Drosophila melanogaster: one gene and its partner. The protein of the gene in region 2 binds, or shares a complex with, the protein of the main gene of each other region. Each region holds a gene or a part of one and is shown on either strand. Other genes may lie near its edges. The genes, in order: hh and disp. A codon is read from its position in the direction of its gene.

The links.
Region 1: the proteins of disp (region 2) and hh are in contact, whole or in part, in a cryo-EM structure (PDB 6TD6), measured with the Drosophila melanogaster proteins. Residues at the interface, in NP_524734.2 of Drosophila melanogaster: His77 (codon at 2,689), His78 (codon at 2,692), Arg250 (codon at 3,208), Tyr253 (codon at 3,217), Glu296 (codon at 3,346), Ala404 (codon at 3,801), Gln405 (codon at 3,804), Ser406 (codon at 3,807), Asn407 (codon at 3,810), Arg408 (codon at 3,813), Gly434 (codon at 4,702), Asn755 (codon at 5,737); in NP_001034065.1 of Drosophila melanogaster: Tyr100 (codon at 2,334), Pro101 (codon at 2,331), Val103 (codon at 2,325), Leu104 (codon at 2,322), Lys105 (codon at 2,319), Gln106 (codon at 2,316), Thr107 (codon at 2,313), Asn110 (codon at 2,304), Leu111 (codon at 2,301), Ser117 (codon at 2,283), Glu164, Lys165, Val168, Ala228, Gly229.

The regions. Positions count from the first base shown.
Region 1 is NT_033777.3:23,138,891-23,143,805, forward strand, and holds the start of hh (hedgehog), read right to left. Parts: upstream 3,017-4,915; 5' UTR 2,632-3,016; coding exon 2,152-2,631; intron 1-2,151.
Region 2 is NT_033777.3:5,850,243-5,857,967, reverse strand, and holds the start of disp (dispatched), read left to right. Parts: upstream 1-1,656; 5' UTR 1,657-2,059; coding exon 2,060-2,215; intron 2,216-2,616; coding exon 2,617-3,624; intron 3,625-3,685; exon of another isoform or gene 3,686-3,755; coding exon 3,756-3,847; exon of another isoform or gene 3,848-3,864; coding exon of another isoform or gene 3,865-4,572; exon of another isoform or gene 4,573-4,636; intron 4,637-4,658; coding exon 4,659-5,201; intron 5,202-5,273; coding exon 5,274-5,912; intron 5,913-6,096; coding exon 6,097-7,077; intron 7,078-7,209; coding exon 7,210-7,447; 3' UTR 7,448-7,725. Other genes in the region: ECSIT, read right to left, coding at 68-1,297; CG34287 (uncharacterized protein), read right to left, coding at 3,865-4,572. UniProt on the Drosophila melanogaster protein: Segment polarity protein which functions in hedgehog (Hh) signaling.

The DNA of each region.
Region 1 (4,915 bases), about 17 Mb from region 2:
TAGCAGGCGAACAACTGGTTCGATAATACGATTTAACTTTACAGTACAGTAAAATCTGATTTTTAAAGATCTAAGTCGTTTTTGCGAAACACTAACCACTGACTAATAAATCAACAAATCGAAAGTCATTGTAACACTTGTGTGGGCGATACTAAACCCTTTAAATCAACTATATTAGTCGGTTGGCAGGCGTAATCTGTCTTCCCACAATTCTGATTATTAGTTTGTTGTTCAATAGCACCAAATCGTCCAAGGAAACTGGAAGTCCGCCATAAAAGCCCAATAGCTCGTTTATGGCGCTAATCAATAACAAGGCTATTTTTACACATCGACACTTAAAATTTCATTAAAGTAACACGAAGATAAGCTGGTGGGAAGCGTGCCGATTATATATATCAGCAACTTCAATGTCGGCCCTCTTAGGGGGTCTTGACTGTGCTAAGCCGACTTCTGGCCGCAACGCAACCACCCCACTAACTGCTGGCTAATTGGAAATGTTGTCGCATGGTGCTTGAATTGAACACTTGTTTTAGCTGTTTCGCACTTTGAAACTCAACCACCGCTCCCCCACCAACTGGGTGGTCATCCCACCGCCACCCACTCCACTTTCACTACCCCCGCCCCTTTTTTTTTATGGCGATAAGATACTGCTGTTCTTCGCCTTAGCTGGTATCTTAGCACACATTTTGTTCTGGCACCGATATAGCGCAACTAGCAACGTATAACGTATAACGTATAACTTGCACCTAAACTAATTTTCACATTTTATTTCACACATAAAAACCATCATATACCTCTTTTAGCATAAACCATAAAGTGGCAAGCATATAGTATTATGCCAAGCGAACCCAATTTCTTTCAGTGCCAGCATGTAGCTACACATGTTGGCAAATATAGGGTGACTATCTGGGGGGATAGTAACCGTGTATTGGCAAACGAACTACTTGGCTGCAGTCCGCTTATCAGACAATCGCCGGTGATAAGCGGCAAATGCTCGCGTGCCTCCACTTTTGGGGCGCGGACAGGGTGGGCGGTGGGCGGTGGGCGGTGGTTTTGGCTGAGTAAAACCTGATAAATACCGGGACTTGTAATCTCCCGCATTCGATACCCTGTTTGTTGTTCAGCGCGAAATCGAAAACGCATTTGCGAAGCGTACACACAATGTTGAGTAAACTATGTATTTGCAATGATGACCCGGGGATCGATTGGGCTCGAGGTTGTTGAACGCGTTCGCTCGGTTTGTTTGGATTTCGGGACGCTTTGCAGCTTTATGGCTTAGTTCGATGGAATTCAGGCGCTATCTACCGTTCAGCCGTCGAGTATCGGGCTTCCTGTTTTTTTGCACTTGCGAAACAAGTGCAGTGCGGCGATAAGATGCATAATTAATCATATAAATGGCCAATGCTCAAAACTAATACTATATTTCAGCCCAGTTTTATGGCAGCCATCGCCACCATAAAGTTGGTGAAATAGCCAATGCTCGATCAATGATTGGGCACTTTTCCGCCACGTAGCGTTTATCAATGGGAACCGAGTGGCACAATCTCGTGCCATCGGGCGATCGCTAGATACGGGCTATAAAACAGCGCGAGCGATAAGCGATCGCTAATTTGACAATTGAATTTACGGACCACGACGGGTGGCAAAATGTGAGTGCAGTGCGCAATAAGCACGGAATTAGCCTAGCCGCAAATCGGAACCCAGCTGTCTGATATAGAAGACGAATTCGGAACAATATCAGCAATAAAATCTCATCTAAATGGTGTGTTTGACCTCCATACCTCAGATTTAACAGGCATTTCATTGTGTTCCTATATCAAAGTAGGCTTACTTTTATCACAAAATAATACCTAGACCAAATATTAAGTGTACTATTAAAGCATTACAAGTTCCGTTTGGTAGAGTTATCTCACATTTTTTCCTAGAATTAGTCATTTATTTGGCGTAAGACTGGGTTTTCACTTCATTTGTGTTGCTAACAATACTAAATGTTAAGTAATTTCTGATTAATCGTGATTAATAAGTCAATATTTCGGTTTTTACAAATAATTTTTAAGTCACTTTGTCACAATGATTCCGATAAGCGAAACTTTCCCAATGATGTATTACAAATTTTGTTACTAGCTTACGGTGTTTGAGGGTTTTCCTTACCTTGCTCATCAAGCGATCCGCTCCGGTGCCTTCCTCGTCGCGGAAAAGGATGTCCCTGTTGTAGTTGGGCACGAGGTCCTTGAATTTGGGCGAGTCCCGACGGATCACACCCTCCAGAGGTCCGGAGGCGCTGTTCGTGTACTCGGATAGATTGGGAATTGTCTGCTTGAGGACCAGCGGATACAGGTTGCGCGCCCTATGACGACCCAATCCTCGGCCAGGACCGCAGCTGTGAGCCGGGCTAAAGACCATCGGCAAGACGATCAGCAGCAGGGCCACCAGAGAGGTCAGCCTGCTGAGGCAACGCTGCGTATGCGCAATGTGGCGCATCGTTTGCGTTTCTTCTTGCGGGATTGCGGAGATGGAGCTCGCTGCGGATTTGGAGCTGGAACTGGAACTGGAACTGTGGCATTTGGCATCCAGGGAGAGACAGGTGACACTGGCGGCACTGGCCCAAGGCACTGAGCTGTGGTTATCCATGATTTATCTAAGACTCGTTGTTTGCTGTTTCTCTTGATTGGATTTTGTATCTCCTTTAATTTTTTTTATTTATTTTTTTGGTTATTTAGCACTTCACTTTTGGCACACAGACACGCTTATTTGGCGACACGTTTGTTATTCAGATTTATGGTATTATTTGGATTTAAACTGGCTAAATCGAAATACTTGAGTCGGCGAAATCGCAGGTCCTAACTGACTTAACTACGGTCTTAACTGTTCTCCGCTGAACTGGCAGTTAGCTCTCGGTTCGGACAACCGTTGCGCTCGCACTGTGATTGACAAATGACATTTCCGAGCGGAGTATCGTGCGCGCAGAGTGTTCGAGTGCGAGTACGAGTACGGCAGCGAATACGAATGCGAGTATAAGTACGAGTACGACGAGGGTGCTTTCAAGAACCCTAGGCCTTTTAGCTCACACAAACACACACGCACACACACACTATCGCCTCGAGTTCATTCCGCGTTGTGATTGTATGCGTATGCCACTCGACGTTCGATCGGCTGTGGTGTTCATTTTTATGCTGCCTTATGCGCAAGGGAAGTGGAAGCGGGACAACCAGATGATGCAGCATACTCACAAGACTGGTTTGCATGTGTTAGTGCCTGAGTCTTCGGCTCTTATGTACAAGCAATGTTGGCAACAGATGTTGGATGGCATTGGCATAGTGTGCTGCGGTCCATTATGGCCATGGATGAAAGTGTGTGCCTGTTGCCAATTGGATGTGTGATAGTGTGCGTTGCTGGCGCAGAAGAGCTGCAGCATCCTCGACTGCAACTGCAATTTCTCTTAACACTTGCACTACTCGGACTCGACTCGACTCGAGTCTTGTGGCTTGTTAGCCGCTTCTGGCCCTGCAACTCCTCCATCGCAGGCCATTGTTCACTTTTTTCCGTTGCCTTTCTTCGTTTTGTTGTTCGTTTCGCTTTATTGCTTGTAAATTAATAATGTTCCGGTTTTTTGTGTATTGTGTGACTCCTGGGCAGCCTTATATATATACATACATATATATGTATATTGTATATGGTATGATATGTGGAGTACATATGGGTTCAATGCTGCTTCCGTTTGCCAGTCTTCAAGGAACGGAAAAAGTGCTTAAAACTAAAGTACTTTATGATCATCGAAGGCTCCGAGCTTATGTCACCCAGTGAGTCATTCATATGCCCCTCAGGTAGTGGTCATGTTCCGATTAGATATCGCCTTAGGACCTACAAATTACTGGTCAATTTAACAATTTCCTTCTCCGCCAGAGGTTCCGTTCAACGCCATGTCAATAATCGCAAATATGTCTATATATATTGCAAAAACCGATAACGATTTTGGCAAATACAATTTGCAATTAGGTACCTTATATTTATGCACAGCAAATAACTAAGTTGCGGATTGATGCCGCACTCTGGAAATCAATAAATTTCCAGTTTTATCTCTGTTGACTTTGGCTAATATAAAATTCCCCACAACTGGGAAATCTCCAATTTAACTTTTTAGCTTTTTCGCACTTTCAGAACTTGGATCTGTGGCAAGCGCTAATCTTTTGTTTTGGCTCTTTTTCCAGACCTTATTTATTTTTTTGCGGTTGCACCAGGTCTATTTGCACTGTCACTTGGCAAGCGCGAATTGTGGAATACGCCCGTCAATGTGTGCCCAAGAAATTGTCACTTTCCAACGGGGTAGAACCAAGGGCCAAGGTGCACCTGCTCATGTAACGGATTCCATGGGGGGGCATAGCATTTTTTTTTTTTTTGGTAACGCTCTGGAATGCAAGGCATAGCATAATAATTTCGACAAAAAACGAAATGAATCGAAGAAAAAAAATAAAACGAATCGAAAGAGGAGAAATACAATAGCTGGTCGTGGCGGCAAAAGATATAAGAGAAGGCAAAACGCCATCAACAAGATACACGGAACCAAATTAAAGATGAAGAAGCTGAAATGGAAGGGGGTATGGAATATACGAGTCTTGGATGCTGGGCCATCGGGCATTCGAGTGTGTGTGCGAGAGTCTATGTGGCTGCCACATAAATTTCTGCCTTCTTTGTGTGCGCACCGAACTCATTACGTTCGTCGCTGTGTGTATCTGTGTGAGTTTCGAATGTGTCTTTGGGCCTCCGCATCTGTATCTGTATCTGTATCTGTGGGGCGGAGCTGCTTAAGGCGCTCATTTGTGAATGAACACACAACACACCGTGAACAAGCCAGATACAGATGCGAAGACCATCCCGGGCCCATGGGCAAACAACAATCGCTCCAGCACTTAATGAG
Region 2 (7,725 bases):
TAACTTTAAGCAACATTTACCATCAATTCTATGGTATACAAAGACGAAAAAGTGCTCAACAATTTGTTTATTTCTGTCTACTGCTAATGTGCTCATCTTGACTACTGTTATCACTTGTTGCCGGGACACTGGCGCCACCTTCAATTTCCTCCGCCTTGGCTGGCACTTCGGATGTGAACCGGAAGAGGACGGGCACCTCTCCTATGGAGGGATTTCCGTTCGCTTCCAACAGGCGAATCCACGAGAGCAATGAGTCCTTTGTGGAGGTGCCTGTGGCACAGATGGCCATAATGGTTCCGTCGTCCTGTTGGTGGACAGAGCGCAGCTTTCCCAGCTGGTTGTGTCGCCTTGGTGGAGCACGACCAAAGAAGGGTACTTCGATGTGGGAGACATCGTCCTCGTCCAGCTGCCGCTCATCTAATTCAGACAGGAACTCAGAATCTGCATCAGCGCGCAGGGTAAAGTAGTTGATCCGGCGATTCCTAAGCCATATGTGAAAGGGTCCCTCGATGTACAGAGCTTTCTGGCGAGAGTGCTCCCGCAGCAGTTTCTCCTGCTCGGGACTCATTCCGCTCACGATCCACGTATCGTCAATGGCATCCTTCAGCTCGCTGGTCTCGAAAACCGTGATTTTGGACCGCAGGTCGACCGTGCACATCCGCTCTAGCGCCAGCTTGGCCATTTCCAATGTATCATCCGGAACAGGATCGGGCAGTGGCCACGGTGATAGGTTCTTAAACTTTGGCATCCAGTACATCATGCGCCAATACTTGCGCAGTGGATGTCCCTGCCTGCCAAACACATTAAGCAGCATCGCCTCCATCTCGTGATCGGGCATCACCCCGCAATCTTCCATCTGCTCAAGCAGATCAATGATACACTGCTGCTGTTTGGGGTAGTGCATGAACTCTGCCTGGAACATGTTGGTGGGTATGAACTTGCCCTTGGGCATCACGTTGATCAGGGCCTTGTAGACCTCCAAGTCTCTTTCCACCCCGAAATCCGCCATATTCTTGAGTGCCGCGTAGATGAACTCCACATGGTTCCGACGGTGGACGTCGCGCTCCTGGAATATCTCCACCATGGTCAGGTAGCTGTTTTTCGTCCTGTCCTGGGCGGCGGCAAAGGGGTTCCTTAAAGCCGGCAGGTTTTTGGTGCCGGGTTTTTGTGCCCTGGGATTTGGATTCGGGTTCTGTTTCGGATTTCCCTCGTCCGTAGCGTAGTTTCGAAAGCGGCTGACCAGCGAATGGCCTCCATTGCCGTGCAGCCGGAGCAGGCATTGTGCGCGGCGCAGCATTTTTTATTTATAATTAATTAATTGAATAAATTTGCAAATACGATTACAAAACATTGCACAAGCTGCGGAACTAGTTCGCGTTTTGCAGCACTGCTGCTGCAACATATGTTTTAATAGTGCCGATAGTCTAGCGTATTTAGCCAAATTTGGTAAATTCTAGGGCGAAAAATTGTATTTAGTTTCGGCTGTACCCAAAGATTTTCAAGCTTAAATAGTGTCATGACCGTAATACACGCTTAAAGTCATACGCTAGTAACAAAAGTTGAAGTGAATATTGCATAAGCTCATTGTGACTACCTTCACGAATCTCTTCCTTCGGAGAACAGCTGTTTGTCTGGCTTAGGGCCATCATCACTGGTGACTGAGTTGCTCAACACTGTATTAACTCAGTGTATCCTTTGTGCTGCTTTTTGTTGTTATTTCACCGTTTTCTGCGTTATCCTTATTCGCATAGTTTTCGGTTGTTTTTCTGTTGTTTAAGTTAGTTCCGAACCCTGAGTTATTTGCACGGGCGCGCGCCTACATAAAAATGCAATCCAACAAGCCGATCTCTGCGGCGGAGGCCTGACCAGCAGGCAGTATCTATAACAGAAGCAAAACAATAGACTTTGGCTTGGTCCCAAGGAGCACCCACCAGCCCAACGTTATTCGAGACTTCCAGCCGCCAAGGATGCACTGAAGGGAAGCGGAAACCCAAGGAGCATTTGATGTTCCCGCAATGCGAAGAGGGTAAAGAGGATTCGGGCATCACATTCTACTGACATGTTGTGCTTCGACTCGGAGAGGATGAACTGGTACTACCACGTCCTGGCCAGGCGTCCCTACCTGGTGGTCGTCTCCATTGCTGTCTACTGTGTCGCTTGCATCATCGTGGCCCTCGTCCTGAACAAGCTGCCGGACTTCAGTGATCCCACCTTGGTTTGTCCTATTAGATTTGTCCAAAACATGTTCACTGCTTGATATTTGGAGAATATATCTTATCTTATTTTACAATTATTTTTTAAAATATTGAGCACATGGAAATAATCCGAAAATGTCTAAATGATATTATTTTATTTAAATTTCGTTATATATCTATTTTTTTTAAATATTAAGAAGTTAAAATATTTTAAATATTCACAGAATTGCTATAAGAAACTACAGGATTACTTGTATACAAACTATTCCTGTATTATATTTTCATTGTTATTATGTTATTGTTGTAAAAATTGTGGAAAATAATAAGATTAATTTCTCACTAATATGACTTATTTGATCACTTTATAATGTGATTATTTGTCATGATTAATATTTATGATTCAACATTTATTTCACTTTAGGGCTTCGAAACCCGCGGCACCAAAATTGGAGAACGACTGACGGCCTGGTACAACCTGCTGCAAGAGACTGACCACCATGGTGCTCTTTTCTCAAATCCATCGGATCTGTGGGAGAGGAGACGGGTAGAGCAGGGCTATGTGGAGACGAAGCTGCATCCGAATCACAGGCGACGCAAAAACAAGCACAAGAACAGAAACAAGAACAAGCGACGCAAGGAACAAAATCAAAGCAGCCACGAGCATCACGATGTGGCGCAGAAGATGATGCAGTTCAAAAAACGGCTGAAGGCTACTAGTTCTCCCTCTCCAAATCTCGGCTTTGACACCTGGATCGGGGACAGTGGAGTATTTCGCGACTACGAGATTACAAACGACAGCGCTTCCTCCTCTTTGGAACCCACGCGACGCACTGAGCAAATCGAATATGGCCACAACACCACCTCAGTGGACGAGGAAGAGCATCAGCAGCGGGTGCAGACCAAGAAGAGCACTTGGCGGCTCCTAAAGCAAGCCGCCACCTTGCCCACCGACGGTTGGGCAGACATGCATCGTCGCCAACCCATCGAGGGATTCTTTTGCGATTCATCGCCCCGGAAGGAGTACTCTCATTTTGTGGTCCAGCGGATCGGTCCCAACGCCACCGATTCTCTATTTGATTTGAACGGACTGCTGGCCATGTGTCAGTTGCAGGATCAGATTACCGAAGTCCCCAGCTACCGGGCATTTTGCGAGCCGGAGATGCTTACCACCGAGTGCTGCCGGCCATGGTCACTGCCCAACTACGCCGCCATGCTGGCCAACAAAAGTTCCTGTTTCGACCTTACCACGGAGGATGTTACTTCGCTGCACACGCTGCTCTTGGGCTGCTATGAGTACTTCCATGACCTAAAGATGGACAACCACTGCAACGAAATACCGCATTGTCGTGCTCCTGAAGAGTGCAAGCGGCTAAATATCGTCTTTAACGTCCTGAATTTTCTCACCGACTTTAGTTTCATCAAGTCTAATGTAAGTTATTGAGTTTAAAATAAGCTTAGACCCCAAAACTCTTTTATTAAAACAGATTTGTATTTGTCCGTTGCTTTACTCGTATTGCATTAAATTCGACCATATAATATTGGCACTTTTTTTTTTTGTAGGACTCGAATGTATACCTGAAATACGCCATGATTTTTATACCCGTGGCGCAATCCAACCGCTTGCTGCCACTGTTCCACGAATGGGAAGACGTGTAAGTATGGAGCACAGCTAATATTTGCGAAATTGATACCGGTCGATGGGTGTGGAGGGCATTACATTATTTTTAGCTTTCATCAAGGCCGGAACGCATATGGTATCAAAATAGGTGGTCAAGTTGTACTTTGTGAAAATTTTTCGTAAATCGCTGGCGATTTTGTCCAGAGTAGTGTCCTTTAGCCTACGTTCTGGATAGAAGGAGCTCCTAAACGGCTCCGTTTCCTGCAGGAAATTGTAATAGCACCCATATGTGGTCCGATAGTCCTCGTCCTTGAGAGAGTAACCTTTTTTGTTCCTATAGCGCCGTCGACTTACAAAAGAAACGAAGTCATTCCGAGAGTAATCGTTCATGTACACCGATCTACGAAGGTCCTTCACAAAGTCCTTCAGAATTCGGAAATCCACAGGCGGATACATAAAAAATAGCTTGTAGATCCTTTCGTTACACCACTTGTTGCGCTTGATGAACTGTGCGTAGTCCTCCCGCCAGTCCATTGATTGGGGCCATGTCTTTGTTTTATATTCAATGCCACCAACCTTTAGATTTGCGCAGTAGTGACCACTTATTAGAGAGGGATCCTCTTGGGTTTTCTTAATCGGGGGATTGTAAACGGCTCTTTCAGTATGATCCACATAATCCGCTCTGCTGGTGGTTACAAGCACCCTCGTCCTTGGCAATTCCATTTTAATTAATTCCTTTTCCCGTTGAACTGGATCCATTTTGCAATTTTTTTTGTATTTTTCTTTTATTTAAAAATATTTTTGATGTTTTCTGTTTGATAATAATATTCTGAATGATTTTTCAGGGAGCTGATCAACGAGCTTGTGGAAGTGGTTGCGATGGACTTGGGCCTCGAAAACGAACTCTTTAACGAGCTGCTGCTGACGGACGTGTGGCTAGTTTCGCTGGGAGGGACATTCGTCATGGCTAGCGTGTGGTTGTACACGGGATCGGCATTCATCACCTTGATGTCCTGCGTAGCCATATGCTTTTCGCTAGGACTAGCGTACTTTTTTTACGCCATCGTGCTGGAGTTTGAGTTCTTCCCCTATATGAACCTTCTGGCCGTGGTAGTAATAATTGGCATTGGAGCAGACGACGTATTTCTGTTTCTTAAGATCTGGCACTGTGTGCTGACCGAGAGGTTCAGCAATCGATGTACCTTGACCACTCAGTCCCAGAGTGCTCTTCCCACCCTGGAGAACAGTGATCACACGGAGTCACTGGAAAACATAATGGCGCTGACTATGCGACATGCCGCTGCCTCCATGTTCGTTACCTCACTTACCACCGCCGGCGCCTTTTATGCCTCCTACAGCAGCTCTATAACAGCTATAAAGTGCTTTGGGTAAGTTAATAAAAGCAAGATTAGATGAATCTTAATATTTAGTAATGCTCATTTAATAAATTATATTTTTAGGATTTTTGCGGGAACTGTCGTGGTGACCAACTACTTACTAATGATAACTTGGTTGCCTGCATCGGTCTCCATCATGGAACGACTATTTGCCACAAGGATGTCCTGCCATCATCCGATGTCAATAAAGCTGATCCACGCCTGCAAGAAGTCAATTAACCGATTTTGTCAGATGTTTGAGGAGTGCATCACGAAAAGCATCATGAACTATGCCTATCTCTGGCTGCTGATCTTTGGGGCTCTAGGCGCGTCCAGTGCCGTCATTGTGTTCTGGTATCCAGGACTTCAGTTGCCGGAAAAATCACACTTCCAGCTCTTTGTGTCAAAGCATCCATTTGAGGTTTACTCCAGTCTCAAGCAGCAGTTCTGGTTCGAGAAACCATTGCAGGCGTACGAGAACTTCAAGATGCACATGCATTTCGTCTGGGGCGTTCAAGCGGTGGACGACGGCGACTATACGAACCCCAACTCATACGGCCACCTGCACTATGACAATAATTTTAACGTATCCAGCAGGCCGGCACAACTCTGGATCCTTGATTTTTGCCAGAGTGTGCGCCAGCAACCCTTTTACAAAGAGACTCTCGGCATGCTGTTGCCCAATTGTTTCATTGAAAATCTTATCGACTATATGAAGCGCAGGTGAGCATATACAATTATATACATACTTACAATGGCTTAGAAAGCTCATTAAAACTGGGTTCAGAAAAATCGATTTTGTTTACATTTGAAAGCTGGAACTGGTTTAGATGGATTAAGACAGGAGATATAGAGACACCAATACAATTTGCAATCATTAATAGAAGCTTTTGTTCATGTTGTTCAGATGCATCGATGATATGGACAGTACCAGGAAAGACCGTTCACCCTGCTGTGACGCACAGTTTCCCTTTGAGCCGCACATATTTGAGTACTGCTTGCCACAAAGCATATCCAACATGTATGACACTACATTTTTCCGGCCCGGCGTGGCAGGACCCAAGTTTGCAGAGGCTCCCCGACTGGAGACTGAGGATTACCTAGGAATGAGTGGAAATGAGAGTGCAGAGTACAGCACCAACGGATCATTTACACCGCTACTAGTCAAAGCCCTGGTCATCGAGTTCGAGTCCAACGTGGCCTACAGCACCATCTACGCAAATATTAGGCAGTTCTACGAGTCTGTAGAGCACTGGTTTCAGATGCAGTTAAAAACGGCACCGCCGGAACTTCAAGGAGGATGGTTCACGAGCGACCTGAAATTTTACAATGTGCAGGACACCCTTTCGCACGACACCTTTGTTGCCATTTGTCTGGCCATGGCTGCATCACTTGCAGTGCTCCTATGCTTCACCGTAAACATATTGATTTCCATCTACGCCGTACTAACCGTGTCGCTAAGTATTTTTAACACCGTGGCTGTGCTCATCCTGCTCGGCTGGCAGCTTAACATCTTGGAGAGCATTGCGGTGAGCACGGCTATCGGTCTGGCTGTGGACTTTAGCCTACATTACGGTATTCACTACCGGATGTCCCCGGTTAAGGAGAGATTGGCAGCCACACAGTTTGTACTATCCCGCATCATTGGACCCACAGTGATGGCGGCCACCACAACTGGTCTAGCTGGCGGAATCATGATGGCATCCAACATATTGCCCTACATACAGATTGGCGTCTTCCTGGTCGTTGTCATGATCGTTAGCTGGTTCTATGCCACTTTCTTTCTAATGAGTCTGCTTCGGGTTGCCGGTCCTCAGCATGGTTTTCTGGAACTCAAGTGGCCGTTGTGGAGCAAGCGAAGCAGTGGCAGCAGCAAGTTCTACGAGCGGTAAGGCTTTTATCGTATTGACCCTTTCAATTTTCTATATCTCTCTGTTTTGCGTTAATGTCATTTTTATCAAGCCTGACTGACGGGTGACTACCCGTTATCGGTTATTAAAACTCGAATTTCTTTGTGCAGGAAACCCAGCCAAGTGATCGCCAGCGAGCAGCTGCTGACCCCCACAAGCTCGGCCATCGTTGAGTTGGCGAACTCGGAGACGCACGAACTGGAGTCCCTAAACTCCAACAGCCTGATCAAAACCATTTCGGGCATCGAAAGCGCCCACGCATTGTCCTCGCTGCCGAGGGACTTCGAGCACTCATTCCAGACGATGCACGAGTGCAAATATCAAACGTATCCGTCTACATCCAATTGAGTTAGTTACTATTGCCGGACAACGCGTTGTTGTTGCCAAGAAGAATCAGGCAACTGCATTTTTATACAGGGTACGGCGGCTCTCAAGCCTGCCCGAGATACATTTATATATACATATACACGCCGTGTGTCGGCATATTTAGTTTTAAAATATGCTGGCGGTGGCATATGTACGTGTTGTGCGAGTTCTACATTGATATACTCTAGATATATGTGTAATTGTACTTGGTAGGATTAGGCAAAGCTATTTTCAAAAGACTCCAGGCTATTGCAATATGC